4 linked regions of the Arabidopsis thaliana genome follow. The protein of the gene in region 1 interacts with the protein of each later gene in a biochemical or structural test. Each region holds a gene or a part of one and is shown in the gene's direction. Other genes may lie near its edges. The genes, in order: GG1, FTA, AGB1 and ATARCA.

Region 1 (4,258 bases):
CTAGAAAGAGGCAGCCAATTAGCCAAGACCTGAAATCCCGTCTCGGGCCACAGAGATCCCCCATCAGAGGAGGACGCACCTCTCCTGCAGAATCACTCAGCCCTTCTCACTCACCTTCTCCACCAGGAAAGAGAGGTCTGGTTAGCTATGCGGATTGATGGTCACTCTCATCCATTGGTTTCTCTGCTGACTTGCGAGTTTTTGTTTTAATTTCCGTGTTTTAGTGCAAGCAATAATAGGTAATGATATTTTTTATGTTGGTCGGATATATAATACTCTACCTTAGTTGCATTATTACAGATCGTGGAACATTGATCAAATTGAGACTGATATATGTTGGCAGAATTGAGTTTGGGAATCGAAGTTTGTAGAAAATTTATCGAACAAGTAGCATAGATATCTCAACATGAAAATCTAGTAATACATGTAAAGAAAGAAGGTTAATGATATTCCGCATGTTCATAGATAGGACTCGAATCTTTCTTTACCACAAGAGGGGTTTACAATGATACAATGATCATGTCCTAGAAGAGAAGGATCAGATGGGTTGGTCTTTGGGAACGATCTGATCCTTGATCCACATGTAGATAGGGATTAACACAAACCAGGCAGCTGCTAGAGTTCCCAGGAGGAAGCGTCCCAAGAAGGAGAAGGGGTTGTTGACAGGCTTCTCTACGTCCTCTTCCTTTGGACCAAGCTGCAGCATTTGAGTGATAAGTTTAGTGTATCAAAGAGAGAAGAAAGTAAAAAAGGTGAAGTGGGAGGTAAAAGACCTGGAGAGGAGAGTCACCGGAGGCAGGTTTAACACCAGTGACAGAACATCCCATGATAAGGCCGTGCCTGCGAACACCACGGTACCACTTGGGGCCAATCCTCTTGAGCTGAACGTCCTTGAAACCGGCATTCTTGAACCACTCAATGTACTCTTCCTCCTTGGGGAAGAGCATCCAGACATCAGAAAAGAAGCGAGAGAGCCAGAAGGTTGGGTAGACAGGGCCGATGAGACACGCTTTGCCACCGATCTTGAGAACCCTGTACGCTTCCCTTATTCCCCTCTGCGGGTCCGGCCAGTACTCAATGCTGTGTGATGATGAGACACACAATCAAACCCACCGGAAAGAAGACGATTATAAGAAGAAGAAGAAGAAGAAGAAGAAGAAGAAGAAAAGGATACCTTCCAGCAGAAACGTATCTGTCAGCATAATCGGTTGGAAAAGGAAGATCCTCAGCATCTCCCTCGACGATCTTGCATTCTTTCAACGGCTCCTTTTGCTTTGCTTTGGCCAGCTGATGTGGCGACTGGTCCAGAATGGTCACATTCTTGGCCTTCACTGTCTTGACTATGCCCAGAGTAGTGAAACCAGTTCCGCCGCCGACATCGACCACTCGCATGTCCGGATGGCTGAGATCCGCTGGCTCAAGAGCGTCGTCTCTCATATCCTCGGTCCAATGCCCAGGATTGATGACATGGTCGTATACGATGGATAAGAACCTGTAGAACCAGTAAGCCTCCTTCTTGTGCTGAATGAACCTAGGTTGCGCCGATGGCCGGGAAGACGACACGCTGCTGCTGCTGCATCTAGTAGCCACCGAGAGTCTAGGTGTGGAGGTTCGGGTAACTGAGAGTAAGGTCGGCCGAGGAATCGATCTGGCATGCAAATTGGAACCAGGGGAACCTAAACCTTTGGGGAAGGTAATGGCCCCGTTGAGCATCAAAGAGGCCATCGATGACAGATCCACCAAGTTGAGAAGAGGGAAGAAGAAGCTTATCTATCACCAATTCTCCGCCAATCAAAAACACAAACGAGAATGAGAGTGTGACTAAACCCTCTAACTCTAACAGAGTCAGTACTGACTCCAACCACATGTTTATGTACGGTCACGTTGTTTGTTGCGACAACACATATCCCTTTGTTGAGCCCATGGGCTCATTTGCAAGAATTGGCCCAAATAATAGTATTGGGCGTTTTGGCATTTTTCTGCAAATGGAAGGGAAAAGTCGATTTGAGTCAGAGAGAGAGAGACTTCGACGACAATTCAAACTTGTACGGACTAAGACCAGACTCTCTCTGACGTTGTCAGATCTGCGACCTGCTAGCGAGAGGATGCGAGAGGAAACTGTGGTTTACGAGCAGGAGGAGTCTGTTTCTCACGGCGGGGGCAAGCACAGGATCCTTGCAGAGCTTGCCCGCGTTGAACAGGAAGTCGCTTTCTTGGAGGTAGCTAAACTAACTCGTATCTCTTTCAAATTCCGACGTAGGTCTCTCGTGGATAGCTCAATTATCCTTTTTAGATCAATTGTTACAACAATTAGGTAAAGGTCGCTAAGATTGTTTCCTGTGAAAGCAAAAACCAGTATGGCAGATCTGTTCCAATCAGAAGAGCATGGTAGTTCTCTTGACAATAAGTGGCACCATTTCAGTCAGTCTTGTTTATGACTCTATGAATTGTATTCCCAAAATCTAAATCTGCTGGGTTCTCTTTGGATCCACTATTGGAATGGTTCTCTGTTGATCTTATTCTTAGGGATGTGCAAGAATACTTTTGATCATAGTCCAATTAGTATCATTCTCTCTTGGTTATCATCTATCGAGGCATGTTAAAAGTTAACCTTCTCCCAAGTTTCTCTGTTGCACAGATAATGTGTTTGCCTATTGTTCCTACTAGTGAGCTCTAACACTTACTAAAAATAGCTTTACTCTCTCTTTCTGTTTCATGTACTATATCCAGAAAGAGTTGAAGGAGGTCGAGAACACAGATATTGTATCAACCGTGTGTGAGGAGTAAGTATGGGATACTCAACCTATGTTTTTTTTTAACGCTTGCAAGCAACTGTGTGCTAGCTCCTGTAGGTATATTATCTGGATTTGACTGAAACTTGTACGTTGATTGGTGATCAAATTGATATTCCCTTGGTTCGCAGGCTGCTATCTGTCATCGAGAAAGGACCCGATCCTCTGTTGCCACTGTGAGTGCTTTTTAAACCTTGAAACTCTAGTGTTGGTTTGGACTGAATAACTGATGGATGTTGTGGTGCTGGCAGAACCAATGGACCTTTGAACTTAGGATGGGACCGGTGGTTTGAAGGACCAAATGGAGGAGAAGGCTGCAGATGCTTAATACTTTGATTCGCTAGACAGAGTAATGTGTTACATATACTAGTTTCTTGCTAGGATATCATTTTACATGGGATCCAAAATGGGGCTGTAGCAGAGAAAAAGCGTACAGATTAATGAGCATTGGAATTGCATAGAACGGCTTAGTTGCACCTACGTAAACAGTATTATATGTATATGTAATGTATGGGATCCGGATCTGACATACGAGTAATGGAGTTTCAGGCTTACAGCTTCTCATCTTCTTATTCTAGATCTTGTTGAAAGAAGCTGAAATGTGCATAGTGATATTTGGGGGCTAATAGAGTAATAGCTAATGAGGAAGTGGGTACAATCTTGAAGACCGTTAAGTGTGTCTCTCTTTTTTCTTTTTAGATAACTTTTGGCCACATCCACCCTCCATGATACACACACGCTAGTTTCGAGGATCAGAATACATACATACCTATGTTTATTATATAGATAGAACGATAATGGAACACAGAGCACATGCCTCATCTGTTGTCTTTTTATTATTACTTATTACTCTTCTCCTCCACTTCTGTATTATTACAGTCTGTTAAAGTAGAACCCCCTTTTGTTTTTTTCTTTCTATGTCTCAAAAATTAAAACAAGTTATGAGGTTTAAAAAAAAAATTGAGAAATGTAGAGGGTATTAGTAGAAGTGATTTACGGTAAGTTTATTCGACAGCTAAAAAGATAGTTTATGCATTCCAAAATATTCCTCAAATTTGTGATGAGTAAACAAATACTGGTAAGGTGGGTTTTCTGACAACCTTTGGATATACAGTAGTATGTCATCTGTTTTCATTGCCTCATTGGTCAAGATCAAAGTTGATGACCTCATTAGAGCTCCTTCTTCTCCCATAAATAAAAAAAAATTGATCAAAGTTTGTAGTATGAATTTGTTATATAAACAGAAGAGAAATTAACACAGAGATGTGAGTTGGTCCAAAAGAAAAATGATTGAGCAGCCGGAAGAAGCACGTTACAACATCTGCAGCATATCTGGTCAGAGAGAGTACAGAAATATTGGGGATTCAAACAATTCACCTCGTGATGAAACCTGAACATTGAAACATGCATTATAGCCTCACTCACATGCTCACATAATGCCAAACCCTTTTTCTCTGTTCCCGCCT
Region 2 (3,974 bases), 1.5 Mb from region 1:
TCGAAGGAAAATATAGTGTATGTGATGCTTTGGTGTATGAAGAGATTTGATCAAGATGAGAGGTATTTATAGTAGAAGCAAACCGTTTACAATAATGTTTTTTCAAACTAAATATCTATTAAGATAAAATTATTAGTTTTTTGAAAGAACCATGATGATGATTATTGCACATGAACGAACCTTTTTTTTGCTTATATATAAAAGCAATTGTACTATTTTACACCTCATGCCCACATAGTATGGGGTGACTGGAGAGGGCTTTAGAGGGTAGCTGTTACTTTATATAAGCTGTAAAGTCTTATACTGTGATTTTTATTTTTTAAAAAATAAAGCTATGACTTAAAAAAAAATATAGTTTTACGAATTTTTACTTTAAAATAAGTTGTAAAGTTATATACATACTGTAAATTTTATTTTAGGAATTTTTTCATATTTTTAAAAAGTACAAAATAAAATATTGTTTTTGTTATTCCTCAGCTCTTGTGAAAAATCATTACTTAATCTTCATTAATCGATTGTTTAGGTCTTATTAATCATGTGTTGAGTTGGGACCATGATTAAGCAATAAGAGTCATTTACCTCCTGTCAAGTATGCATATGCATATACTTTTGGTTGTTGAATATTGTTGGTTGCAAGCAGTACAATCGGGAGAGAAAGGATCGAAAGATCGACAAAGGTGTTGCTAAAGCTGAGGGTGCTGATTAATCAAGGATTAATCAATACGATATCTGAAGCTAAAACTAGAACACCAAAATGTTGATTCATGATCTTAACTCCTAAACATTTCCTTGGTTAATGAAAGAGTTCGTTCATCTTTCAAACCATTGACAATAATAGCAGCTGTCACCTCTTCTTCACCATTACGGGCTTCTTCTTGATGTAATGGTGAATAGTAAGGCCTCTATGCTGTTATACAATGCTTTAAGTACAAGGATTTAAAAAATATTTACAAGCCTTTTTTTAAGAGTTTTAAAAGGATTTACAATGATTTTAAAGGATTTTAAAACTTTTATAATTCCTTTTAAAGTCATTTGAAAACTTTTGTAAATGCTTTCAAAACTCTCAAAAAATTTTTTTTTTTTTTTTTAAACTCTTAAAATTATCCTTGTTGTATATATTATTTAAAGCCTTTTAAACCCTTAAAATATATTTTACAATGGTTTTAAATGATTTATAAGGATTCTAAAATATTGAAAAAATGTTTTAAAAAGGATTTTAAAGTATTTACATGTATATTTAAAAACTTTATAAGGATTTTAATAAGTTTTAAAATGGTTTACAAGAGTTTTTAACAATTTTACAAAGCTTTAAAAAACTTTACTAGGATTTTCTAAGAATTTTTAAAGGATTTACAATGGTTTTTTAAGGGTTCTAAACAAAATTAGAAAGACTTTAAATGCAATTTTTTGGCGGGAAAAAACAGAGAAAATAAAATTTTGGCACTTAAAATTTAGGTGGGTAAGTTTTGGTTTCTAACTACATGTTCTCATTAGATTTGATGATGATTAATTTAGTCATTTTGGTTAAGAAAGTGGTTATTTTTAAAAATGGGCCAAAAAAGGATATCATAGTAGAATTGTGGTTTGGGCTTAAAAGCCCATTACCCCTCCCCTAATTAGTTTTCAACTTTTCATGGAGTCTTCGGTTTTCGACTTTGGATCGGAGTCGGGGAACATGAATTTCGACGAGACCGTGCCACTGAGCCAACGATTGGAGTGGTCAGACGTGGTCCCATTGACTCAGGACGATGGTCCGAATCCAGTGGTGCCAATTGCCTACAAGGAAGAGTTCCGCGAGACTATGGATTACTTCCGTGCGATTTACTTTTCCGACGAGCGATCTCCTCGCGCACTACGACTCACGGAAGAAACCCTCCTCTTAAACTCCGGCAACTACACAGTAATCAATCTTATAATTCATATAATCAACAACTATCTGAACTCTTATGGTTTTGAAATTTGATGGATTTTAGTCTTTTATTGGTCCTTGTTGCTTCAATTTTTAGTCTTACCGATATTTTTGTTTACCTTTGAAGGTGTGGCATTTCAGGCGCCTAGTACTCGAGGCCCTTAATCACGACTTGTTTGAAGAACTCGAGTTCATCGAACGCATTGCTGAGGATAACTCTAAGAACTACCAACTGTGGTAAAGTTCATACCTTTTCACACCTTGTTTGATCTATGTGCTTTTGATCATGAAAGTCTATGAGTGAGTTATACTTTTGAAAATTGTCTGATGAATAATTTTGAATCAATAAATGTATATTCTACTTCTCCATAGATGAAAGTTTGTTCTTGTACACATTGTTAAGTTCATAGTGTCTCATATCTGCTGATTATACAACGTTAAAACCCTTGGTTGTTTGTTTTGAGTTTGATGGTCCATGCTTCTGCTCTATGTTTTCCTTTTCTCTAGGCATCATCGGCGATGGGTTGCAGAGAAACTGGGTCCTGATGTTGCAGGGAGAGAACTTGAATTTACCCGTAGAGTACTTTCACTTGATGCCAAACATTATCATGCTTGGTCACATAGGCAGGTTTGCGATCTCAAACCTTGTTAAAGCATTCACTTGGGGTATCATTGCATATCTTTTTGTTTGATAATATGGAAACAATCTGCAGTGGACACTACGGGCATTAGGAGGATGGGAAGATGAGCTCGATTACTGTCACGAGCTCCTTGAAGCTGACGTCTTTAACAATTCCGCCTGGAATCAGGTAACTTGATCGTTGATACACATACGAAATTCTGTATCTCTAATCTATCAATTGCCGATTCTGTCACCTATTTGTATAATCTCATTCCCTTAATCTGACAGAGGTATTATGTCATCACCCAATCTCCTTTGTTGGGAGGCCTAGAAGCCATGAGAGAATCTGAAGTAAGCTACACAATCAAAGCCATTTTAACCAATCCTGCAAACGAGAGCTCATGGCGATACCTAAAAGCTCTTTACAAAGACGACAAAGAATCCTGGATTAGTGATCCAAGTGTTTCCTCAGTCTGTTTGAATGTTCTATCCCGCACAGATTGCTTCCATGGATTCGCTCTGAGCACCCTTTTGGATCTTCTATGTGATGGACTGAGACCAACCAACGAGCATAAAGACTCAGTGAGAGCTCTAGCTAATGAAGAACCAGAGACTAACTTGGCCAATTTGGTGTGTACTATTCTTGGTCGTGTAGATCCTGTAAGAGCTAACTATTGGGCATGGAGGAAGAGCAAGATTACAGTGGCAGCAATTTGAATATGTGACGCCCCAAAATCACACTTGAAAAAGACTTGATTATTAGTTTTTACGTATGTACTGCTTATTTATGAATCACATGTTCATGTTAACATGTATCAAAACAATCTTGATTTCTCAGTTTCCTTCGCCTTGTGATATTCAGAGAAGCTTTCTCAAGAATGATTTTGCATCACACACTTTGACTAAACGCATTGCTCTCTCGATAACCGGAAGATCAAAACCGAAACCGGGTTTTGGTTTGGCTCGCGGATTTCCCCAATTCAATTTTAACGACAAAACTATACTAATTCATAAGATTAAAAAAAAAGTTTCTGAAGTGGTCGAAGTCGGAAGCGTGATTTGGTCGAAAGATTGGTTCTTTCTCCGACAAGAATTATGTCCAAATCTGGGTTTAGTCTGCTGTTCCTCGTTCTTCTACTTATCATGGGTTTCTTATTTCCGTTGAGAGTTTCTGCAATTAGGTGATTAATTTTGGGTAACAACCATTGCTTCTATGAATTGTCCCGCTTAGTTTCATTTCCTTGAGATTTTCGAATGAATTTGCAGGAAGGATATCGGATTTTTGGAAGAGCGGAGTTGCAGAACAACTGTCCAAGGAAGATACTTGATCTCCGATGATGAAGGTTAGCGATTTCCACTCTTGGAAAGATTCACCTTTTTGAACATTTTGAATCTCTTTCGACTTAGATTTGGTGATCCATGAATGGTTTGTTGTTGCAACTT
Region 3 (4,958 bases), on another chromosome or scaffold:
GTTTGTTGAAGGTAATGATCAATTCTCTTCTACTATGTTTTATTGTAGCTAGGCCTTGTAAATGCTTTAATTGACCAAATAATCGGTTTTCTACATGCTTTATTATACTAATTGGGTTTCTTAATTATCTTGAATCTGAATTTGATAGGTTACAACAATTGCGTATATCCGGGAGGAGGAGGAGGAGGAGGAGGAGGAGGAGGAGGAAGTAAAGCAGTAATGAACAAGTATGTGAGCTCAGACAAAGTAGAGAAGAAGAATGGAGCAACTGAACCAAAAGTCTCTTCTTCTCTATCTTTTCTACTCATCTTTTTGTCCCTTATCTTCCATGTATATATGTAAATGGCTCAATTAGCTCTTGGAGGTAAGTAATTAATTAATTACGCCTACTTGTTAATCTCCTCTCCTTCCTCTGTATTAAGTGTAATCGAGTTTGTTATTAGTTTATAATGGTTACACACATTCTATCTCAATTGTATTATATAGTCTGTAACGGCTATATCTACTAGACTTCTTTTGGTTTCTTATAAATGAATCTGAATATTATCTTTGGATAAAGTTTCCTATATTCCAATGTATATCTATATCCCTCTTAAATTGTTACATTTTACGCCGTACCTTTATAATTGGGCCTATTGTAAATTTAAACCGGTTTAGCTGGTTCACTTTACTGAATTTACATTTTCTGAAAATAAGGATTTGAGCCGAACCTACAACAAAAAAATGAAAATTTGACCCGGTTTATTTTGGTTTACTCATCTGAAATTACCTTTTATGAAAAGGAGTCGACAAATAATTTACTTATTTTCTTCGGTTAAGGAAAATAACTATTTCCTTCTTAAAAAAGGAATGGTTGATCTCACCGACTCTAGCTAGGGCTTATAAATACAAAGACGCATAGGGTTTCACAACTTCATCACCTTAACACAATTTGTTCGCTCTCTAAATTCTTAAATCTTTCATCAAATTTGCTTCACAGTGAAAAACCTCCTCCACAAGGAACACACAATGTCTTCGAAGATGATCGTGTTGATGAGCTCCGATGGTCAGTCGTTTGAGGTGGAAGAAGCGGTAGCAATCCAATCGCAGACCATAGCGCATATGGTTGAAGACGATTGCGTTGCTGATGGAATCCCTCTTGCAAACGTGGAAAGCAAGATTCTTGTGAAAGTGATCGAGTACTGCAAGAAATACCACGTCGACGAGGCTAATCCTATCTCTGAAGAGGATCTCAACAAGTGGGACGAGAAGTTCATGGATCTCGAACAATCCACCATCTTTGAACTCATCCTTGCTGCGAATTACCTCAACATAAAAAGCTTGTTTGATCTCACATGCCAAACTGTTGCGGACATGATCAAAGGCAAGACTCCAGAGGAGATTCGTTCAACTTTCAACATTGAGAATGATTTTACACCTGAGGAAGAAGAAGCTGTTCGTAAGGAGAATCAATGGGCTTTTGAATGAGCCCATGAATCAAAAACCTAACTAGCTTTCTTTTTCTTTTTTCCTTTTAGTGTTCTTTTTTTTTTTTGCAACTTCTTGATCAATAATGTAGATGATGATCACTTCGTCTACTTTTTAAAATTTTTTTTTTTGATTTGTATTCTCTTGAGATAATCTTTTGTTGGATATTGATATGCTTAACCAATGTGTTTTTATTTTATTTTCTCTTGAGACAATCTTAATTTTATTGGATTATTGATGTTCTTGTAGCCAATTCAGAAAAACAGAATCTATTAGACAAATTAAATTCACGTAGCAAAATAACTAACATGTTTTCTCTTTTCTTGTACTGTAAATTACGTTTCTTAAAAAGAAATATGTAGTTAAAAATCCTTCAAATTCATTATATTGAATCGAAAATCTCGTCCAAAACCAAAAACAATCATAGCTCTTAAACGATATCGTTTAATCATTGTGAGAGGGTCCACTTTAATGGGAACAGTCAATGTCTATTGACCCTCTTCTCTCTCTCTAGCTAGTCTCAGGTCAGAGAAGCCATCATCAACATTCAACAAGAGAGCCGTGTTTGTGTCTTGACTGATTCTTCTCTCAAGCTTTTTTAATCTCTCTCTCTTTTCCCACGTAATTCCCCCAAATCCATTCTTTCTAGGGTTCGATCTCCCTCTCTCAATCATGAACCTTCTTCTCTTCTAGACCCCACAAAGTTTCCCCCTTTTATTTGATCGGCGACGGAGAAGCCTAAGTCTGATCCCGGAATGTCTGTCTCCGAGCTCAAAGAACGCCACGCCGTCGCTACGGAGACCGTTAATAACCTCCGTGACCAGCTTAGACAGAGACGCCTCCAGCTCCTCGATACCGATGGTTTGTGGATTCCTTTTCGTCTCTCTTCTTCTCTCATCTTCTTCTTCTTTAATTTGGATTGAATTTTGCCAGTGGCGAGGTATTCAGCGGCGCAAGGACGTACTCGGGTGAGCTTCGGAGCAACGGATCTGGTTTGTTGTCGTACTCTTCAGGGACACACCGGAAAGGTGACTCAAAGTTTGCATCTTTATCCTTCAAGCATGCTTCTTTGTGGAGTGTTTTCTAGCCTGTGATAAAAAGCTTCCATTTTGGGGTTGTATCTAGTTTGTTATTTAGTTGGTGGTGTTTATAAGATGTTACCAGTTATCATGTATGAGGATTTGCTTAAGATCCTACGGAAATGTAGAGACAGGAGAGTTGATTGTGAATGTTAGCTTGTTGTTGATTTAACATGTGGGATTTGCAGGTTTATTCATTAGATTGGACACCGGAGAGGAACCGGATTGTCAGTGCATCTCAAGATGGGAGATTAATCGTGTGGAATGCTCTAACGAGTCAGAAAACTCATGCTATTAAACTCCCTTGTGCATGGGTTATGACATGTGCTTTCTCTCCAAATGGTCAGTCGGTTGCGTGTGGTGGATTAGACAGTGTATGTTCTATCTTTAGCCTTAGCTCAACGGCGGACAAGGATGGAACTGTACCGGTTTCAAGAATGCTCACTGGTCACAGGGGATATGTTTCGTGCTGTCAGTATGTCCCAAATGAGGATGCCCACCTTATCACCAGTTCAGGTGATCAAACTTGTATCTTATGGGATGTAACTACTGGTCTCAAAACTTCTGTTTTTGGCGGTGAATTTCAGTCTGGACATACTGCTGATGTACTAAGGTATGGATATTGCTTTCATCTCCTTGGCTCATTGGCATCAGTTTGTTTGATAAAGTAGAATATATTTGAAAAACTACTTAATCTTCCAGAACCATACCATTTGGATCGAGTGTTGGAATCAACATATAGGTTTGGTCTTATTGAATAGATACGTTTATTTGACTTGTGTATAAAAGCTAGCATGGATGATATATTGCAAGTCAGTTAAACTCGCCCTCTTACTTGGTGATTATTCCCCATTCTTGCAGCGTCTCAATCAGTGGATCAAACCCAAACTGGTTTATATCTGGTTCATGCGATTCCACAGCACGGTTGTGGGACACTCGTGCTGCAAGCCGAGCAGTGCGTACCTTTCATGGTCACGAGGGAGATGTTAATACGGTCAAGTTCTTTCCGGATGGGTATAGATTTGGGACTGGATCAGACGATGGAACATGCAGGCTGTATGACATAAGGACTGGTCACCAACTCCAGGTCTATCAGCCACATGGTGATGGTGAGAACGGACCTGTCACCTCCATTGCATTCTCTGTGTCAGGGAGACTTCTTTTCGCTGGCTATGCGAGCAACAACACTTGCTACGTTTGGGATACCCTCTTGGGAGAGGTAAGCAATTAGTATTTGAGTAATGAGTGGTGAGAGTTGTTTTCGCTCATGTAAGGTTTATGATTGAAACGTGAGGAGTTTTCTTGCAGGTTGTATTGGATTTGGGATTACAGCAGGATTCACACAGGAATAGAATAAGCTGTTTGGGGTTGTCAGCAGATGGAAGTGCCTTGTGTACAGGAAGTTGGGATTCAAATCTAAAGGTTAGTACTTAGTAGTGTCTCTGCTTATCATTTACCATGTTATGTTTGTAAGGAAATTAGAGGATAGATGAAATTTCGTTGAATTCACACAGATATGGGCGTTTGGAGGACACAGGAGAGTGATTTGAAGAAGATTTAACGAAAGTAGGAGTCACGTCTCCAGTTGTTGGTTAATATATTCTGTAGTCGGGAAGTAAGGTTCGGTTTGTGGAAGGTGTTTGGTTTGAAATAGTGGAGTGGTTAGAAGAATTAAACTTCCCTTTTTGTAGTGTGCTTTGATTTATTTATTTCTTCATTGGGAACTAAACTCCTTCAACACGCTACTCAATGTGAATTCTGTAATCAATTGTGTACCCACCAGTCTTTACTTTACTATCATCTCTTCATATTGAACGCAGACGATAAAACGCTACTATTTTTGAGTTTCTAACTTATGGAGAAAGCCTAGCCTGTTGTACGGTACGGTAGTGGTTTTCAAATCCGAGCAAGATGATCTGTAGATTCCCAACTTGGCGAGAAAACGGGTAATAATAAAATTCAGAAATGAGAAATCAAAAAGCACCGTCATAAAATAAAAAGAAAACCTCCATAGTGTATTTGACAGTAATAATGCAAGGAAAAAAGAAAGAAAGTAATACTATGCTATTTATAATAGTTGATGTATTTTTGAGGTTTAGCAGCAGGAATAGATGACATTCTCTGATACTGAAGAAACGCAAGAGGTTTTAGCCGCTGGCAACAATCTCGTGAATGGCCTCGGCGACAGAAACGTCTTCAGCTCTAACTGTCAGCTTCATTGCAATGTCCTTTGAGCTGTCCATTCCAAACTGTGCCCTCACTAACACTTTCACGTTGCCTATGTACACACCTGACAATAGACACGTGTGTGACCTTGCATTGAGCGGAATTGTCTCCGTCCCCTGTTATTTATCCAGTGTCAGTTTCAATTTCAGGAACACAACAAATGGTCATATACTCAAAAAAGACTTT
Region 4 (4,463 bases), on another chromosome or scaffold:
TCTATGTTTTATCTTTCATAATAGATCTGATAATTTTGATTTTTCACTATATATATTATGGTTAATACTAGTAGCTTTTTCATTTCAAGTTTTATCCTTCCATTGGTTCTTTCTGAGTCAAATTGTCTCCTGTTTCGAACCATATATAAGTTTTCAATGGTTTTGTATTAACTCAAGTATTCAACATTATGTCTCTCTTTTTCTTGCTTGGATCTCTAATGCTGTTCATATTTTAAAGCATAGGTTTAGGTTAGATGCATGTAACTGCCAATTAAAAGAAGGTCAAGAGTTTTTTGATTGTATGAATATATGAGTTAGTCAAAGCAGATCCACACGATTATATAGAAAAACAAAGGAAGAAGAAGAGGAAGAGCTCCTTGAAGTTCAATGGAGGGTTTAGCAGGGTGAAGTAAAGCTGCTAAGCTATGGATCCCATAAGCCTTATCAAATTCAATATAATTGATGATAAGGTTTTTTTTATGGATGCCATATCTCAGGAGCTTTCACTTACCCCTTTAATGGCTTCACTCTTCTTTGGATTGAAGGGAGCTCTTCATCTCTCCATCCCTATCTCTCTCTCTCTCTATCTTTAGTTCTTTTAAGAATGACTTTTCATTTTTTGTGTTGTCTGTTGCAGGTGTATAAACATGGATGATGGATCTTGAGTAGGATTTTTTATTTTATTTTCTTGTGACATATATGCAATTTTTATGGTTTGTACTTTGTATTTCCATTAGTTTCGTACTTTTCAGTTATGTATCATTGTTAATTCTAATGTTTGAAGACATTTAGAGTTTATACTTCTCTAAATTACTTTTTCGACTCAATAAAGTCGTTTAAGTGTCTACAAGTATATACCGTGTTAATACTTTTCAATTCATATCCACCATTGTATAAAGATATGATCCGCTTTTATTTAAGTGAATCAATTAATTTACAGTATTCCTCTATATCTCTCTCACACTGTTCGAATAAATTTAATACTCAACAGATCTAGTTTGAACTTTTTAAATAAGTTTAGCCGAAGAAAATTATCATTGTTGAACAAACTTATTAAATTCGGATTGGCTTATTTGATGCATCCAGATTGCAAAACTATATTTTTGAATACAGCTGGAAATGTTTTTAAAGTGTAAAACAACGGTATATATATAAGTCAAACTGGTTTTTTTTGTAGATTTCTCTCCCTTTAGCAAGTTTTATTGCTTTCCTATAATCCATAATATTTACATCCAAAACAGCAATTATATAAGATTTTCTGCTATTTCAATACGATGTTATACTATTTCGGCAGATGTACGTACTACATTACATCTAACCAATCCAGATTGATAACTATATTTGATGTAATCTCGAATTAGTCAATCTCTGTACCACATATAAGAAATTTTGCTTTTTTCACAAAAGAGTTGTTAGAAATTTGACCTATACAAAAATAATGACCACGATAAATGAGTATATACATGTACGTAAGATAAATGTAAAGTTGTATATTTGTGCGCCATTCATGATTCATTCCACGTATATATTGTTTGTTCGAATCAAAGCAAACTCAGAAAATGAAAACGCTGAATGACGATAAAAATAGGGACGCTTTTGTTCGAATTAGCGTGCCCATTATGTCACGAACGTAGATTCAAGTCTTGGCCATAAAACAGGATTCCTTATAGCATCCACCAAAACACGAGAAATCATTCTCAAAAACAGTCTCTCCAAATCCGAACTAAACAACTCATAGCCCATATAATAAGGTCTGTAGTGGGATGCGTTTTTGGCTTTTAGAACATACCAATTGGAGAACACGCTTTCTTACACATGGAAACAAATTACGAACGCTTCCACCAAATATGGGCTGAGATAAGCCCATTAACATAAGACCCAGTAATAAATATATAATATGAGCCCATATTAAATGAACCCTAATCCATTTTTAGTTTCTATCATATAAATAGCTTCTTGTGTTTTTCACGCCCTTCTTCTTTGTATTTCCGCCTCCCCCGAGAAAACGAAAACCCTAGTTTCAGAGGCATCTCCAGACACCGAAAATGGCGGAAGGACTCGTTTTGAAGGGCACCATGCGTGCACACACTGACATGGTGACGGCAATCGCCACCCCAATCGATAACGCAGACATCATCGTCTCAGCTTCCCGCGACAAATCCATCATTTTGTGGAAACTCACCAAGGACGACAAAGCCTACGGTGTAGCTCAGAGGCGTCTCACTGGTCACTCTCACTTCGTTGAGGATGTTGTTCTCTCCTCCGATGGACAATTCGCGCTTTCCGGCAGCTGGGACGGCGAGCTCCGTCTTTGGGATCTTGCTGCTGGTGTCTCCACTCGTAGATTCGTTGGACACACCAAGGACGTGCTCTCCGTCGCCTTCTCACTCGACAACCGTCAGATCGTCTCTGCATCTCGTGACCGTACGATCAAGCTGTGGAACACTCTTGGTGAGTGCAAGTACACCATTTCAGAAGGTGGTGAGGGACACCGTGATTGGGTTAGCTGCGTCAGATTCAGCCCTAACACGCTTCAGCCGACGATTGTATCTGCTTCGTGGGACAAGACCGTGAAAGTGTGGAACCTTTCGAACTGCAAGCTCAGATCGACTCTTGCTGGTCACACCGGTTACGTGAGCACTGTGGCTGTATCACCTGATGGTTCTCTTTGTGCAAGTGGAGGCAAAGACGGTGTTGTTTTGCTGTGGGATTTGGCTGAGGGGAAGAAGCTTTACTCTCTTGAAGCTAACTCTGTGATCCATGCTCTTTGCTTCAGTCCCAACAGGTACTGGCTCTGTGCTGCAACTGAACATGGTATTAAGATTTGGGACCTTGAGAGCAAGAGCATTGTTGAGGATTTGAAGGTTGATCTCAAGGCTGAGGCTGAAAAGGCTGACAACAGTGGTCCTGCTGCCACCAAGAGGAAGGTACACAAATATTTTCCCATGATGGTTCAATCATATGCTTTTAATCGATTACAAGTTTTCAGCTTTTGTATAGGAAGAATTTTCTGTAGTTGGTTATGATGTTGATTATGACTTGTGATTAAGTATTACCCATAGCTGAGTATATCATAATTCGTAATGTTGGTCTGTTATTGAAAATGTGAAAGTTCGTAAAAAGTTTCTTACATGGATTATTCTATTCAAATGCTACACGATGATATATGTAAATGGTCTTCTACACTTGGTTTCAGTTTCAGATTCTGCAATTATGTTTGCTTGAATTACCATTCCGTTTGGAGACTTAGGCTCTCTATCTTCTTTATCTGTTTTAATCTTCCATATATAGCAATTACCATAATTGTGTTTTCGCCCCAGTTTGAGCCTAAATTGTCAATTAAGGTTGTCTTTTAATGGTTTTGTGTGTCCATACTCATTGATTACCTGACATTTCTTGTTAGGATCATAGTAGTAGTAATATTTTTCTCCTGATACATAGCCCTTTGTTTGTTGTGTAATAGTACATGTAAATAACCATGGAAAGTGACTGAATTCAATTTGTTTGTTGATTGGGTCAGGTTATTTACTGCACAAGCCTTAACTGGAGCGCTGATGGAAGCACCCTCTTCAGTGGTTACACCGATGGAGTCATTAGAGTTTGGGGTATTGGTCGTTACTAGTAATCTCATCACTTGTGCTGTCGTTGCTCTCTGCTATCTGCTTGTTGGTTTTATCTATCACTTATGTTTTTATCGACAACTCATGAAGTACCTTGAGGTTTTTGGAAGGATGTTTGTTTTCTTGTCAATCTAGGTTTTTGCTTCTTTATCTTATCGTTCGAGATCTTGGTTTTTAGAGTTACTTCTCCCATTTTGTGGCAAATGATTCCCATTAATAATATAGCGAAATGGTGGAATAGCGGAATTCTCTAAAATTTGTAACTTTATCCAATATGACAGATGAACCAAATGATTTTTAACATGTAATAAACTACTGATTTGCAACGAACTAAGAAGGTTATAGACATGAACATACTATCTTTGGAAATGGACATGAACTGCCGCTATTACTGCTGCTTCCTTCGACCAACGAAATTTCGCCACATAGACTGGTAAAGTCGAACAGCCGCTATTACTGCTGATGTGGCATCTGTCGTATTTTAATCACTCCCGCCATTGCCTTTTCGCGCTAAGTTTTTTTTTTTACTTATGCTTTTTTACTCTAGACTGGAAAAACAAAACAAAAAAGGCTATAAAAAGAAAAATAAAGAAGACAAATTCGCAAGAACCCTAAAAAGAAGAAGATAAGAAATCGGAAATGGGCATCAAGGACCTTCTCAGATTCATGAAACCTTATATCCTTCCCATTCACATCCAGAAATACGCCGGGAAACGAGTAATTTTCTCCGACTTGTTTTCTTAATGTTCTCCATTTCCTTCTCGATTTTAGTTTCCGTTAATCGTTCTGGGTAAATCTCCATTAAAAATCAAGTTTTTAAATGATGGGCTTACACATTTTTGT

The links.
Region 2: of the proteins of GG1 (region 1) and FTA, one has a biochemical effect on the other in vitro, tested with the Arabidopsis thaliana proteins (one study listed by BioGRID).
Region 3: the proteins of GG1 (region 1) and AGB1 form a complex in vitro, tested with the Arabidopsis thaliana proteins (one study listed by BioGRID).
Region 4: the proteins of GG1 (region 1) and ATARCA form a complex in vitro, tested with the Arabidopsis thaliana proteins (one study listed by BioGRID).

What each region holds. Positions count from the first base shown.
Region 1 is NC_003074.8:23,415,278-23,419,535, forward strand, and holds GG1 (Ggamma-subunit 1), read left to right. Parts: upstream 1-1,971; 5' UTR 1,972-1,985; coding exon 1,986-2,219; intron 2,220-2,730; coding exon 2,731-2,783; intron 2,784-2,923; coding exon 2,924-2,968; intron 2,969-3,043; coding exon 3,044-3,128; 3' UTR 3,129-3,704; downstream 3,705-4,258. Other genes in the region: AT3G63400 (Cyclophilin-like peptidyl-prolyl cis-trans isomerase family protein), read left to right, coding at 1-158; APG1 (S-adenosyl-L-methionine-dependent methyltransferases superfamily protein), read right to left, coding at 539-697, 774-1,080, 1,175-1,725. UniProt on the Arabidopsis thaliana protein: Guanine nucleotide-binding proteins (G proteins) are involved as a modulator or transducer in various transmembrane signaling systems.
Region 2 is NC_003074.8:21,942,534-21,946,507, forward strand, and holds FTA (farnesyltransferase A), read left to right. Parts: upstream 1-1,636; 5' UTR 1,637-1,675; coding exon 1,676-1,900; intron 1,901-2,036; coding exon 2,037-2,146; intron 2,147-2,416; coding exon 2,417-2,537; intron 2,538-2,622; coding exon 2,623-2,718; intron 2,719-2,819; coding exon 2,820-3,248; 3' UTR 3,249-3,474; downstream 3,475-3,974. Other genes in the region: AT3G59390 (glycosyltransferase family protein), read left to right, coding at 3,627-3,712, 3,798-3,874. UniProt on the Arabidopsis thaliana protein: Essential subunit of both the farnesyltransferase and the geranylgeranyltransferase complex.
Region 3 is NC_003075.7:16,476,531-16,481,488, reverse strand, and holds AGB1 (GTP binding protein beta 1), read left to right. Parts: upstream 1-1,868; 5' UTR 1,869-2,222; coding exon 2,223-2,328; intron 2,329-2,400; coding exon 2,401-2,495; exon of another isoform or gene 2,496-2,719; coding exon of another isoform or gene 2,720-2,734; coding exon 2,735-3,159; intron 3,160-3,407; coding exon 3,408-3,765; intron 3,766-3,843; coding exon of another isoform or gene 3,844-3,854; coding exon 3,855-3,968; intron 3,969-4,060; coding exon 4,061-4,096; 3' UTR 4,097-4,458; downstream 4,459-4,958. Other genes in the region: AT4G34480 (O-Glycosyl hydrolases family 17 protein), read left to right, coding at 149-342; SK12 (SKP1-like 12), read left to right, coding at 1,009-1,467; AT4G34450 (coatomer gamma-2 subunit, putative / gamma-2 coat protein, putative / gamma-2 COP), read right to left, coding at 4,694-4,888. UniProt on the Arabidopsis thaliana protein: Guanine nucleotide-binding proteins (G proteins) are involved as a modulator or transducer in various transmembrane signaling systems.
Region 4 is NC_003070.9:6,220,280-6,224,742, forward strand, and holds ATARCA (Transducin/WD40 repeat-like superfamily protein), read left to right. Parts: upstream 1-1,921; 5' UTR 1,922-2,045; coding exon 2,046-2,927; intron 2,928-3,520; coding exon 3,521-3,622; 3' UTR 3,623-3,963; downstream 3,964-4,463. Other genes in the region: AT1G18090 (5'-3' exonuclease family protein), read left to right, coding at 4,260-4,337. UniProt on the Arabidopsis thaliana protein: Major component of the RACK1 regulatory proteins that play a role in multiple signal transduction pathways. Involved in multiple hormone responses and developmental processes.